Linked DNA regions of Tamandua tetradactyla. The protein of the gene in region 1 purifies or fractionates together with the protein of each later gene. This does not show direct contact. Links are inferred from orthologs where the notes say so. Each region holds a gene or a part of one and is shown on either strand. Other genes may lie near its edges.

Region 1 (7,376 bases):
TTTTGAACTTGAAAGGTCACACAAATTTCTAATCATAAGGTAACCTTGAACTACTCGAGAAATATATAAATTTTTCAAAGTGTTATTATATTTAGGAAATTAATAGTTAACACCTTGGAAGCTGAGATTCATATGTGAATTTATATGTTGTATTGAATGATAATTTTGTAGACCACGAGTCTGCATAGGAGCCATACTTAGAAAAAATTCCATCTATGTCCTTTTTGCTTTTTATATTGTGAGCAGTAACAGTGTGGCATCGAGAATTTAATGACCAAAATAAAGGCAGAATAACGTGTAATTTGTTTTTGCAGGGACAGAAAGGGGGTGTCTTGTTCCAAAAACAAGTCAACCCCATATTAAATAAGCATACTGTATATTTTTTAATCACTGTTTTCAGAGCATTTAGTTTTCAGCAGTTGTGTTTCATAATGTCCTTTTGAAGTGGTGTGTTACTGTTTTGTTTGCATTTGAACAAAGAGAAAGAGTCCTGGAAGTTATATGCCATGAAGTGTTCCCAATGTGTCATAATATAGCCAAGAGAAGAATTTTAGACATAATACCAACTGTGGTTCATTTGGGCCTTAACAAGTCTTGGTGATCTCTCTCAAGCTTCAGGGCTCTATCTCAAGCCTGGCTAGATCTCCCATCCACCCTTTTTTTTTGCAGTGACTACAGGGACTTAGCCTGTTTCTGATTCCTTTTTAAAGTTGCCACCGCTATTTTTGGAGAGTTTTGATTACAGGGTTGGCTGTAAGACATACTTTCCCTAGTTGCTCCTTAAAGAAACTATATTCATTTCATTTTTATTCTGGACAGAAATAACAGCAGGAATTTAAATTAAAAAAAAAAAGATACACATATAGGGAAGCTTCACAGATTGTGAACTCTTATGTTTGATGCTGTAGACCTTGATATTTTATGATTCTCAAACTTGGCAAACATCAGAATCATCTGGAGGGCGTGTTAAAACAGTTTTCTGCACCCCACTCCCAAAGTTTCTGATTAAGTAAGTAGGTCTGAGTGGAACCTGTAGCTTTGCTGTTAAGACTAACAAATTCTCTCTTTTCTCCTGGAAAAGTTGTTGTTCTTTGACTTTATTTTATAATTGTTTTGAGTCCCTTTTAACTGTTTCTTAGCAGAAGCAATAGGATTAAAATCCTGTAGCATTTATGATATTTACTGAGCATGTATTCAATACTTTATAAATATTAACCTATTAAAATTTTTAACCAAGTAAGTTTTAATTTTTCATCTTTCAGGGCACAGTGTTTTTAAAAAACTTTTTTTTTATTTTCTAGGTATTTAATACAAAGCTGCTTAAAGTCAAAGAAAGACATTTGTTTCTTACCTATTTGGGAAGAGCACAGTATGATCCAGTAAAACCTAACTACATCTCTTTGGACAAATTAGTATCTATTCCCGATGAAATATTCTGTCAAGAGATTGCCAAAGCTTCAGTACAGGACTTTGAAAAATTCTTAAAAACTCTTTAGTTTTTGATGACTGTTAAAATATAATAATGTAAAATGAATGTACATATGAATAAATAAATCTATTTTAAATAAATTCCTCAGGTCTCCATTGATATTGGAAACAGTGGCTTGATATTATAAATTTGAGTACACTTCTGGTAGATTTTCTTATAAGTTCTTAGTGACATAAATTCTTCTCTGACACAATCATTTCCTTCCTTCTCAGGAAAGGGTGAACTGAAAATATAGCAAGCTTAGAGAAAGTTTACTAAGAATTAGTTGAGGCTGGTGCTCTGTCACTGATTTTCCTGTCACTCTGATAGAGAGTTCTGGTGAAGACAAGAACACTGGAGACTTTCCCACTCTTTCATTCACAGGTCATTTAAAGTGGTTTCATCACACTTTGTTTTTTAAGTTGTTATATCTGAAGTATAGTACATTATTCATCTAACATCTATTTAATGTAGACAATGCTACGAAACTTATTCAATTTTGGGTTTTCTACAGTGTTATTCATCTCCCTGAGTGTGCATATTCAGAAGCTGTGCAAAGTTGACTACTGAGAATTAACAAAGGAAAAGGGATAGGGAGGGAAGTAAAGTTCGAAGGTATGGAGAGGGCAATGAGACATAGTAAAAAGACCATAATAAACCTTTTTACTTATTGCCAACATGCAAAAACACAGCATGAATTGAAACTTGATATACACTTGCACACTGGAGCTTGTCATCTTGCAACATTTTCTTGGGTCTGGTTACTAAGAGATGTGACGTAGAGAGAGCCACCAAACCAAACCCCAGCTATTTCATTTGTATCAATGAAGCACCAGACAGAAGGGAAATGTCATGAAGAGAGCAGTCTAACCAAACCCCAGCTATTTCAGCCATACCAATTAAGCACCAGACAGAACTGGAAGAAATAAAGTGCTTAAAGCCACTAACTTTGGGGATAGTTGGTGTTCATCAGTGTTTTGTGGCGTGCTGTATGTCCTGAAACCTCATGAGTAACTAAATTTGTAATTGATCAGGGCCAAGTATAGTGGCCCTCCTGTTACATATTGTATTCATTGTCTCAACAAACCTTTGTGTTCCTAAACACACTGGTGAGTGTGGCAGAGATACGCAGCTTCATGGAATTGTCTAATGAATGAGATCAACAAGCAAAGGAAACAAGGATGAGGTACAGCTGTGAGGCCACGGTCCTGCCTGGTCTTTGAGGCCGAGAACTTCATTTCGTCTCAACCCACTCAGATAGGCTAAGTATGCTACTATAATGAACAATCCTAAAACCTCAAATTATTTGAAACTGCAAAAGTTTCTCTCTCAATCATACTTATCCATGTTGGAACCACAAGGGGCTCTGCTCCACATCATGTAGTGATAGAGGTTGATAGAGTATTGTCATTTTCAGGAGTATTGCCACAATTTCTGACACTATTGCAAGTCCATAGAAGGGGAAAGGGAAATGGAGAATTGCTCTTAAAAATGTATTTCCTAGCCAAGGTTAACCACATGCCTAACTTGAAGGGGAAGGGAAGTGCAATCCTACCATTTGCCAGGAGGGAGAAAAACCAAAAATATTCTGTGCTAGTATTAATGACTACCAGTAAACACCCAGGCTTTCCCTGTAGGAGCTCGATTTTATGATAGTCCTGTTACTTCATGCCTTGACATAAGAACTTTCTTCTCTTGGCATCTTCTTCACCCTGCAGCCAGCAAGCTGAAATTTAAAGGTGGAAGAGGAAGGAAGAAAGGTTTATTGAGTATGCCCTTTGTGATGCAATGTGCCAGCGTACAAATATATTGCATTTCTTCACATCTTTAAGATTTCACTGGCCAGTGTAGTCTGGGAGCACTCATTCGTCCATTTTTAGTGCTGCATAGAAAACTTATACAAGAAAATGACGCAGCATGGAGTCAGAAGAAACAAAAGGCAGCAGATGGGGTTTTAGAACTGGAATGGGACTAAGACCATTAAATCTAACTTGACTTTACAGTGAGACAATCCTGTACTGTCCCAGGTTTCAGCTTAAGACTCGAAAAAACAGTATTGGTAGGTAATGGTAGAAAGCCACTAGTAAGAGATTCAACTTATCAGTCATACTAATCCCCTCAATTGTTTTCTATTTCTAGGCATTTATACCTTAGACTTAAGAAGTTGGTCTGAGACCTTTCAAATGGATAAATCCATGTACTTGTTCCTGTTGTATCTATAGTAATATACAAATTCTGCAGTATAGCTTCGACTTAATATTGACATTTTTTTCTGACCCTAATCTTCCCCTAAAGTGGTGTGATGTATATTGTTCAGCTGGAGAAAATGAAGGCAAGAGAGGTTTAGTATCTTTTATGGTTAATAGTGTAGCCTGTGACTTGTAGTCAAGGAGTCTTGAATTTGAACACTTCCTAGCCCCATGCCCTTGAACAAAATTTGTCCAACCTTTCTGAGCCTCAGTTTTCTCACTCTACAATGGGGATCAGTGTATTTATCTCAAAAATTTGGGGGAAGAATTAGATGAGAACATGACCGTAAAACGCACAACACTTTAACTTGGCACAAAGGGCTCAAATTTAACATTGCCAAAAAAAAAAGCTCTTACAGCTAAACAGTAACAGAATCCGGGCTAACCCTAGTTCTCCTAACTGCTTGCCTACTATTCTTTCTTCCATATCATAAGTAATGTTTCTTGGGAAACTGGACGAAACGTCTGACCGATTCCGTTAGCTTAACCCCAGCGTCCCTAACATCGGCCGTCAGCGCTGCGCCTGCGCGAGCGTCTTCCGGCGGTGGCCACCCTTTCTCTCGCTTGGCTCCGCTAAGGCGCCTGCGCACTGGGTCCGGCACGTCTTCTAGGACTTACCCAGTAGGCAACGCTTTACTCTGGGGTCAAAATGGCGGGCCGCCCTGCTGGTAAGTGTCTCGTCCTGTCTGGCGATTATCCCCCGGGTCTACCTTTTATTCCTCTTCCTTTGCTCACTCTGTGTGGCTAGGTTTGTAACGTAAGGGAGGGTGGCGGCTCTGGCCCAGGCAAAAGACGTTTTTCCCCCCGCCCCAGCTGTCCCCGGGCCTGCCTTGCGCAAAGTTGGTAAACGAACATTCTGTTCGTGAAGGTGCCCGCGGTGTCTCCGATAGCCCCGGCCTTCCTTCCAGCTGGCGGTGCTCGGCAGTCCGCATTATTTTTCCGGAATGTGATTCCGGACCCCGTAAAGTGTTCAGGCGCCCAAGGAGATCATTAGTGGTTAAGTATCAACCAAAATGCACTAAGTGCTTACTGTGGAGCCAAGCGCTTTCATATGCATTAGCTCGTGAAGTTCTTTTACCAGCGATACGATTAGTTTTCCATTTACGCTGAGGAAATAACTGGCAAAGTGATTGAGGAAATAGGGTGGAATAAGGGTGGGGGTGCTTCTTACCCTGGGAGTTAGTGTCAGTAGATCAAGGGTTATCTGGAACAGTAATTGAATTTGTAGATTTGAGGAATTTTTTTTATTTCAGAACGAAAACAAATCCATTTATTATGGGATAGAACGAAGAAATTGCACTAATATTTAAAACCGCGTGGACGTCACGCCGGTTTTTTTCTGCTTGGTTTTTTTGTTTTGTTTTGTTTGGTAGATCTCTACCTTTTTCGCAGTTTAAATTGGACTAGTTTTTAAGAAAAAATATTGCTCCCTACCTTCCCGTTCCCCAATACTTGTGATGCTTTTAGGAAACATAAGATTGACGAAAAAATCCGTTATTTTTTTGAGCTGGTGGGGTGGGGGTGGAGAGACGTTTAAGAATTCAGTATTTCATTAATTTGACAACTGAAGTCGAAGGCATTCTTGAAGTGAGATAGCACTGATTTCCACTAGCTACCTCTGACATTAGGTAGGGTAAGTTCTATAAAGTTGCAGAAGTTGCTTCCTCTTCTGCAACGCAGACGTGTTGTAAATTGAGCTCATGGAGATAAGGCAAATAGAATAATAGCTGACATATAAGCGCTCAGTAAATATTATTACCACTAGTAAATATGTCTAATTTGGAAGGCAAAGTGCATTCCTAATACTTAATTCATAGAATAAAGGTATAAACCACTCGAGTTTTTAAAAGCATTCTGATAGTAGCACCATTAATCCATTAACTTTTGCTACCTAAATAAGTTTGTGTTAAAGTAAGAAGTATTAGGAAATTCATCCTTCTCCAATCTGAATATGTGGTAGAGTTTATTCATTCCTTCTTCCACTATATTTAACTGCATGTAGCTTCCCTTACAAAGAATGCTGTCTCTCAGCTTTGCTTATACTTTCATCTTCCCCTCATAATAAAGCTTATAAATCACCAGTCACTTTTCTAAGAATCTCATTAAATATTTATTCATTTAGTCCCTGTAATATATATGTGATTTCCAGGAAAACTGTAGATACTGTATCAAACGTTAAGGACACCCAAATCAATAGGCCAAGCCCTGGCTAGCTCTTGTGTAGCTTATGTATGTAGCAGAGAAGCTTAGCCTACCCCATAGGTATGCCTGAAAGTCATTTCTGGAGAACCTCTCATTGCTCAGATGTGGCCTCTCTCTCTCTAAGCCCAACTCTGACAAGTGAAACTATTGACCTCCCCGCAACATGGGACATGACATCCAGGAATGAAAGTCTCCCTGGCGGCGTGGGAGATGACCCCTAGGATGAGCCTGGCCCTGGCACTGTGGAATCAGCAATTCCATACTGACCCAAAAAAGGGGAAAGAAGTCTAACAGATATGATACCAGTGGCTAAGAGAGTTCAAATAGAGTTGAGAGGCTACTCTGGAGGTCACTCTTACACAGGCTTCCCCTAGATATTGCTACCTATCACAACTTGCCGAACCCCAAACAAAACCATTCCTGCCAATCCTAAAGAATACCTATGGCATTATATAAGATTCTACAGAGGTTCTATGTACTAGGGTAACTTTCCAGGAACGGACAACCTCCAAATGGGTCATGAAAAGCAGAGGGGCCAGCCTTTCCAGAACATCAACTAGTTTATCCCCCTATCCCATATTATCGACAGCCCCTTCCAATATGAAAAAGTTAGAATCGGTGTAGCCTAAATACCCCTAAAGAGTGGGAGAAAGATCAAAGGTGATGATAGAGTTATGCAGAAAATATAGGGTTTAACAAATGAGTATGAGTGCTGAATCGTGTTATTTCTTTTAGGCTCTAGTATCTTAGAGCAGCTAGAAGTGAAAACCTAAAATTGTGGAATCATAACCCATACCAAAACTTGAAATCTGTTCTACAACCAATTGCTATGATGTACTTTGAAATTTACTACTTTTTTGTGCGTTATTTTTCACACAAAAAAAAAAAGAGAGAGAAGGCGAGTAAAAGAGAAGATAGGATTTAACAAATGAGCATGACAGTTGAATCATTATATAGATATTTCTTTTGGTCTTGGAGCAACTAAAAGAAAAAATGAAACATCATGGAACTGTAACCCATACCAAACTTTAAAATCTAGTTCTATAACTACTTGTTAAAACATACTTGGAAATTTATTGCTGCTTTATATATATGTTATATTTCACAATTAAAAAGTTTAAAAATATACATGTGATTTATAATATTGATATGTTAATATATAACTAATATAGGAGTCTTTAAATAACTCATTTAAATAAAATAATATAATACTGTATTAACTTGTTTATTCCTCTGAAGCAGTTTCTGGGAGATAAAAATTGGTATTGACCACAGTTTAGAGATGGAAAAACAGATACAGAGAAGTTAGGTAACTAGCTTTAGGAGCCTACATTTGAGGTAACTAGCTTCAGGATCCTATATATGAAGACAGACAGTTTGACCCCAGAGTGTATGCTCCTCTGATGATACTGCTTTCTCCTACCTCCACCTCCCTCCTTTGTCTGAGTAACTCCTAC
Region 2 (7,808 bases), on another chromosome or scaffold:
AGCCCTCCCTGGCTAAGAGGTGTCAGAGAAGGGAGGCAATTCCGGGAAGGGGAAACAGCAAAAGCCCTGTAGACAATGTTATACCTTGTCTTCCCTTGTCCCTTAGAGATGAGCTCCCGCCAAGTCACCACACTCTCCTCTGCTCGGACCTGCCCCTGCATCCCAAGAGTCCCAACAGGAAGCACCTACCCAGGATATGGGGCAGAGGGACTTATACACACGCCGGTACCATTCACACACGGAGACGTCACCCCCTTTATCAGTCATTGCCTTCTCGCAGCGGTGGAAGTCTGTAAAGAAAGGGGTTCAGGGTCATTTCTGAACACACTTCTGACCAAAACTCACAGCGGGAAATATTTTATACCTCATGATCAGTCTCACACACACACACATATTGAAAATAGAAGTTTCACAAAGAAACAAATCCATTAAAAAGGGCTGAGCACAACTCACTAAACTGATTTTGTAATCCACTAGAGAACTGTTGCCTGACTTGTAAACACTGGGATCAGGAATGATGGGGAAGCATTAGCACACAGATTATGGAGCCCAAAACCAGGGCAAGGGAAGGGGAAAATGATCTTGACGATAAGGTGCTGGGAGTTCCAGAGAGGAAGGCGGGAAAGGAATAATCTGTTTTTTTTTAAAATAGGTAATTCATTAAAATAAAAACAAACAAAAATAAATTAAAAACAAACAAACAAAAAGGCAATTCACTCCTGGGCACATTTCCTAGACAGGAATGCATGCACACAGCATTGGATTACATTTCTATGAATGTTTATAGCAGCCCTATTCATCAAAGCCCCAAACTGAAAGCCACACAAGTGTACATGGAAAGAACTGTGGAATACTGTATACCACAGCATATAAGATTCCTGAACTGAATGAAGAAAGCCAAAAAGAACACAGAGTACTATAAAGTTCACAAAGGGGCAAACTTAAAACAAGGAGGTAAAACCAAAAATGTGATATAATATTGAATATTGGTTACACTTCTAGTAGGGGGAGGGAGTTGTGCTCAAGATGGAGCATGTAGTGGTTGGGGAGTTTAGAGTACTAGCAACATTCTATTTTTCTATCCAGGTTATGGCCGTACAGGGGTTCACTTTAGAATTATTGTTTTAGCTTACATTATGTTTTACATATGTTTCATTACACACACACAAACACACACACACATACACTTAAAAATCATTGTAAGAACCAAAGTTTGTGACTGGTTCAGATGCTGAGGTGATTGTTAATGAGGGCATGGGCCCTCCAGGGTTATGATGTTCAGAATAAAAGTAGCGTCCAGGACCAGTGTTAAGGTGCATGGGTCCTCTAGGAGTAGGTAAGAGGTGAGGGACTTGAGGATTGGGACTAGGGGAAGGTCTGCACTTTCCCATGACCACACCCTTCTTACCCAGGTAGTTCTGCCAGCAGTTCCTGGTCTGGTTCTGGTTGGGGAAGCGGCTGTCAAAAGGGGCAGTTCTGTAGTTCTTAATTTTGGTCTTGATGTCTTCTGCCATGATGCTGACTCCTGGAGGCAAAGTGGGTGGACGTTGGTAAGGGTTGGAGGGCTTAGACATGGGCATCTCAGCCCACCCAGGACCAAATGAGGCCCAAATCCAGAAAATTGGGCTGAGTATAAAGAAGTCATCACTCCCCTCCCCTAACACACACACTCACACACAAGTGAACTGCAGGGCCAATCCATACATCTGGTGTGGAAGTCATAACAGGTTGGGGCAAACCCTTAGCAAAATCAAGTCTCTTATCCCAAATAATACTAGCTACATTACTGAATAAATTTACAGGCCAGATGCTGTTCAACATACTTGACTCCTCTAACAGCCTCTGTATAAGGTCAGAACTATTACTATCCCCATTTCTTGACAAGGAAGGAATCAGACATCTAAGTGACTTCCCAAGGTCATGCCACACACAACTGATGGGGCTGTACTCAGTTACTGGACTACCATACACTGCAGAGGTTCTTAATCTTTTTGGTGCTATGAACTGCTCTGGGGTTTGATTAATCCTACAAACCGCATTCTCAGAATATGTTTAAATGCATTAAAAACTGCACTGGGTCAAAAAGAAAACCAGTTATATCTAGCTGTAGATTTATTAACTGCCATAGTATTGATTTAACCACAAGTAAAACTATTTTGTGATATCTGCAACAACTAATGTGATATAAGAACATCTGTGATTTCAAATGGTGACAAAAGTCACAGGTGCCAGAAGCATCACAGCAGTAATAACCATGCTTCTGAGATTGTTGCCTCCATTCCAAAGGGAAGGAAATGGTACATTTCAATTGGAGGCCAGCAAAAACAGATATAATTTTTTCCCCATTTAACCACTAGCACTCCTTGAAACCTATTAGTTCTGTGGACGTAGGGTTAAAATTTGATATTATGTCTCTAAAAAAGGGACACACAGTAGCCATGGAACCTATGAGAAATGGCCTCTGTATTCCAGAAATTCAAGGAGTCATGGACTACATAGAGGTGCATCGGCCGGTGTCCAATTCAAGCGGCCCAAGGCAGTGTTGGGGCTCTGGTAGCACTAAACAGTCCTTCCGGAGAGGGAGGACTATAAAACACCAGCCGCTGGGACAGAGTCGTCTAAAGAGCTTCGGGTGATATCTCGACCCAATATGTGGGGGTGTTGGTGGATCCGGAACGACGCTGCGGTCCCTCCAACGTGCAAGGGGGAAGCGGGATCAGCCACCAGGGAGTCAAGCTGCGGCTCAAACAAAACCCCGGGGGTCACGCCCGCGGCTTGGTGATTAAGAGCAATGCAGTCCAAATTAATGGGTCTAAACCCTAGTAGCTACGGCCTCGACTAAGAAGCTTATTATCTCTCAGCCTCAGTCAGGGTTGGGGGTAAGATTAAAGAATCAATCTAACTAAATCGCCTGGAAGGTTGCTGGGCAATAAGGAAGAACTCCACAAACGTTAGTTGTTATTATTAACAGAACAACCAAGGCCCGGGGCTGGCACACTGGGATGTAGGACGCCACCAGCTGGAACCCTCATCCCGTTCTCGGGGAAGTGGGGTTCGGTTCCCCAAGCCCCCATACTAGGGTCCCAGGTATCTGAGCCCCCACACTCACCTAGCAGCGCCTCTGAAGCTGCTCGCTGCTCAATGTGACCCTCAGCCCAAACGTCTGTCTAGGACCGGAAGCGGAATTAAGACTGGCCGGAAGTGCGGCGAAGCCGGGTACTGGGTAGTCTACAGCGCGCCTACAGCGCGTATGGGTAGCCGAGTCCCGGAAGTCACTCTGGGCCCGCCCATCCTTCGAACTCCGACATCCCATTGGGCTTTGAAATGCATGTTTAACATCACTACCGGGACAAAAGAGAGTTCGTGTGGCTCTTCAGATAACTAGGAGCAGCAGTTGGGGACGCCAAATTACAGGCTCTCTTCACCTTGACTGTATCAGGGGGAAAGATTTCTGAGTCCCGGGACTGGCTGGAGAGAAGACTGTCTCGGGGAGAATGTCCCAGAAGAGGTGCTTTTATTCATGCAAGAAATATTTATTGAGCGTTTATCCTGAGCCAGACTCTTGTGTAAGTTTTGGGGATACATTATTGTACAAAATACAAAACCCCCATCCTTATTATGATTGTTACGGGGTTGATTGTCATACCACGACAATCAACGAACTAATCGCTTGAAACGAATTAATCTCTTTCCTGGGGTCATTGACTGGATTGTCCAGACCCTACATTCCCTTCCCAAATCTAATCTCGTTCACTCTGCCTTAAAATATGTATCTAGAGTCCTCCCCTGCCAAATTTGGTTCACGCCACCGTCAACTCCATCATGGACTATTGCAGTAGTCTCTGCCTGGCCTTCTGGCTTCTCTGCTGACCTCCACATTTTGTCTAACCAGCCACAAGAACTCTGTTGACACCTGTGTCATATTACATCCCTCCTCAGTCCAGAATTTACCCCGGCTGCTGGTCTGACTCCGAGCAAAAGCTAAAGTCCTTACAAATGGCCTACACAATCTACTTGCCTCATCCCCTCGCCCCCAATATTCTCATCTACCCTTCTCACTGCACTAGCCACATTGACTTTGCAGTTTCTTAAACGTACAGGCTAGCTTCCCCCCAAGGGCCTTTGCACTTGCTGTTTCTTTGGCTTAGAATGCTGTTCCTGCAGATGGCTCCCTCCCTTATCTCCTTTGCTCAAATGTCTCTGAGAGTCTTTCTCAGATTTCCCTTCCCTACTTTATTGTTACACAGCACTTATCTCTTCGTGTATTATAGTACTTACTATAGCCTTCCTTTTTTTTAATTTTTTTTAAATGTTTACCTCTTATTTATCTCTCTCATTAGGATAGAAGCACCATAAAGGAGCTATTTTTGTCTGTCTTATTCACCATTGTGACTCCAGCACCTACAACAATGCTTGGCACATAGAATGTGCTCTATAAATTAATGAATGCATTTCTTGTATGAATGAAGGGGGAATCTGAGAGCTGGGAGAAGGAGTTGTGAAAGCACACTGCTTTTCTCCCTCCTCTCAGCGTGGCTTCTAAGCTTCCCACATACTGTCTTGGGTGCAGTGTCCAGGTCTAACTAGGTCAGGGGCCTCTCATACATTCTGTGTTTATCAATGTTGAAATTATTTGTGAACCTACCTGTTCACATGTCTGCATCCACCCACCCACCACCACCTTTCAATGAAATCTTCCTAAAGCTGAAACTACTCCTCTATTTAACTCCTCCATGGCTTTAGATCCTATGTGAGCTGGCCCATATTCCCAAGCCACATTCCCAATTCCTTGAACAGTAAGAACAGTGCTATGAGATCTTCACCTGCAGGCCTTTGTTCATGCTGTTCTCCCTGCCTGGAACACTCTTTAATTAGCTGACTTCTCAGATCAGCGGACTCCCCTATCTGGACCCCTCCCCCACATTCCAGGTCAAGTTTTTCTTTTTAGGCTCCCTCAACCCCCTGGGGTTCCCCATCCCTGCCCTGACCAATCTGGATTGCCCCTGTCTGGCAATGGTTTTATCTCCACCTTGGACTGTGAGCTCCCTGAGGGCAGGTCTCTGGGCTGCCATGACCATTGCTGTATCCCAGCACTGTCCACAGTAGGGGAACATAGTAGGCTTTCTTTCAGGACTGGATCTGAGTCCTCAGTGGTTCCCAGAATGGGGTAGTACCCAGTAGGGTCTCCTAGGTCCGAGTTCTATGTTCCCTAGTCTGGGTTGGGGAAACAGATTAGGTGGTGTGGAGGGACAAGCACCAGGTCTAATTTCTTCATGGTCCCCAGCACTGAGAGGGCACACTAAGCTCTTTTTGGAGTTCTGAGTCTTAGTCCTCTCTATGCCCTCTCTAGGGCCAACACAGTTAGTGATTGTGTCTGATTCCTTTACCTGTCCCAACACAGGGCAGGCACACAGTAGGCCCTAGAGGCACTGGATCTAATTCCCTTGTAGGTCACATCACAGTGTGGGCACACAATTGGCCCCCTAAAAGGCTGGGTCTGTTTTGCTCACCCTTGTTTCTCGATGGCCCAGCAGCGGGTGTGGTGGTGCACACGTAGGTACCCCAGCGGGGGCGGGTCTGTTCAGTGTCAGTGGGAAGAACACAGATGAGAACGCGCTACAAGGCTTGATGGGATATTTTTTATTTGGTCACAGCTCTCTGTCCGCCTTAGTGCGGTCCCGCTAGGCCAAGCCGGGCACGCAGCCTCCGAAACGGTACGTGTACTTGCGCCCACCGCTCTTTCGCACGATGTCGCGGCGGTAGTAGTAGCGCAGGCCGCGACTTAGCTTTTCATAATTCATTCCGGGTTTCCTCTTGCGCTCGCCCCAGAGACGCGCCACCTGGGACGGAGGCGGGGCTGAGTCAGAAAGGGCAGGAAAGGGGGCGGGACCTAGTGATTGGGTAGGAGGAGCGGGGCCAGGATACAGAAAACACCCCTGACAAGGATGGGGTCGAAGCTCCCGATGAGGCTGGCAGAGGGTTGGACGGGACCTAGCCCAGGAGACGCTGGGTGCGGGGCCAAGACTAGGTAGGGTGAATGGAACTGCAGGATTGAGCAAGACGAGGGTAGAGCCGGACCGACCAGGGCTGGAGAGCGACCGCACCTCTTTGGGGTCGCAAAGCTGGAATTCGCGACTGTTCCCCGTCCAGCGGATGCAGCTGCTGCGCGACCCATCGCGGAGCAGCTCTAGGAGAAACTGCCACAGCTGAATGGGACCTGAGGGATGGGAGGCGGGTGAGAGGTTTTCTGGCCCCAGTCCACGCCACTTGGGTGACCCAGGAGTCCCCTCTTTGATGGGGACTCCAAGAGTGCCTCGAGGACCCAGGCTTCGGGGCCCTCTTTTCTTTCACAAAATCCAGTAGCCTGTGTGCCATCCCCTCGCTCTCTAGAAGCCTACCAGTGTCTGACAGCCTTCTCCTCCCTCAGGACCCAGACCTGAAAACCACCATCCCCTCTTCTCTCCTGCACTGAGGTACTTCAGCCCCGCCCCCCTCGCTACCAGTTTTCCCGGTCCCGCCCCCTACGCCCCAAAGTTAGGTTATCTCTAGACTCCCTGCAGGACACAGTCTTCGCGGTCCTCTCACCTCGGTGGTTAGTTTTGGGGTAACAAGTTAATGTGGGACGGTCCGACTGCTGGCTTTGCTCGGAGGAAATGCAGTCTGAACTCTGGTGCCTCTGGGAAGAGGCCATGCAAGCCGTCTGCGGTCCCAGGTCCCAGGAAGTGGTACAGTCCGAGCCCTCAGGCCCGTCGCACGAAATGGTATAGTCCACGCGCGACTCCCTACCGAGGCCCTCATCCCAGTAGGTGGCGGCATCGGGGCCGACAGAACATCGGGGCCAGCTGGGGATGCTCCCGGCCGTGTGGGCGTGAGACCAAGACGCTGCCCCTGCCGCCAAGGTGCTCCTGTCTAGGCCCGCCGGCCCTTCAGAGCCCGCGAAGTGGGAGGTGACGGGGTCCGGAGGGGCGATGCCCAGGATCTGGGAGACGGGGCTCCGAGGGTCAGCGCCGAGACGCGCCAGGTCGGTCCTGTCTCCTGACCAGGCAAGAGCCGGCAGGGTGGGCTCTGTGTGGAGGAACACACCCCAAGTGAGGGGACTTTAGATGTCCAGGCCCCGGATCCCTTGGGGCTTCTTGGATTCTAAGCTCCAAGCCTCGGTCCCCGCTCCCGATTCCTTGGGGTGGTGGAGGCCGTTACCCTGATTCAGGCTGTGCTACTTTGAGGACACAGGCATCCATAGTCCCAGCCCTGTTCCCCCTTAAAGATCGGGGAAGTTAAGCTTGCAGGCCCAGTGCTTCAGGACCGCCATCCCCCACCTCTCCAAACACTCACCAGTTGCCCATGTAGTGTCTGTTTGTGGTAACGCGGAGCCCCAGTCCAACTGTGGGAACCCTGTCAGGGATAAGATGGTGGGGAAGGTGTGAGCAATGACTAGGGACTAACCGCCCCCCACCCAGGAATTAGTGCTCCAGGACCCACTTACTCAGAACTAGGACTCTGAGACCCCTCCACCTTCAACCTCAGGAGTCCAAGCATGCAGCCTCTTTCCCACTCAGACCCAGGAGCCCAGCTTCCCCCCTTTCTTCCCAGTACTCAGGGGGCCCAGCCTGAAGCTACCTTTCCAGCATGTCTCCACTGTCAGCCTGTCCCCTTGGAGTGCCAGTTCAGGGAAATAGAAGCCAAGTTCAGCTCCTGCTGCAGGCAATGAGGAAGTTAGGTTTAGGTCAGGTGTCAACAGACCCCACCACAGGACCCCATCTAGGCACCCTTTCCACACACTGTCTCAGCCCCAGCAACTTATGCAGACC

The links.
Region 2: the proteins of UQCRB (region 1) and COX6B1 purify together in Homo sapiens (affinity purification with mass spectrometry; 3 studies listed by BioGRID and IntAct, counting the BioPlex papers as one, with this or other methods). This does not show direct contact. The link is inferred for Tamandua tetradactyla from reciprocal best matches to the Homo sapiens genes UQCRB and COX6B1.

Annotation. Positions count from the first base shown.
Region 1 is NC_135332.1:140,090,670-140,098,045, reverse strand, and holds the start of UQCRB (cytochrome b-c1 complex subunit 7), read left to right. Parts: upstream 1-4,262; 5' UTR 4,263-4,366; coding exon 4,367-4,385; intron 4,386-7,376. Other genes in the region: MTERF3 (transcription termination factor 3, mitochondrial), read left to right, coding at 1,302-1,496. UniProt on the Homo sapiens protein: Component of the ubiquinol-cytochrome c oxidoreductase, a multisubunit transmembrane complex that is part of the mitochondrial electron transport chain which drives oxidative phosphorylation.
Region 2 is NC_135342.1:30,361,692-30,369,499, forward strand, and holds the start of COX6B1 (cytochrome c oxidase subunit 6B1), read right to left. Parts: upstream 3,245-7,808; 5' UTR 3,110-3,244; intron 1,526-3,109; 5' UTR 1,515-1,525; coding exon 1,409-1,514; intron 291-1,408; coding exon 190-290; intron 1-189. Other genes in the region: ETV2 (ETS translocation variant 2), read right to left, coding at 5,682-5,840, 6,105-6,217, 6,586-7,065, 7,333-7,392, 7,618-7,695, 7,808-7,808. UniProt on the Homo sapiens protein: Component of the cytochrome c oxidase, the last enzyme in the mitochondrial electron transport chain which drives oxidative phosphorylation.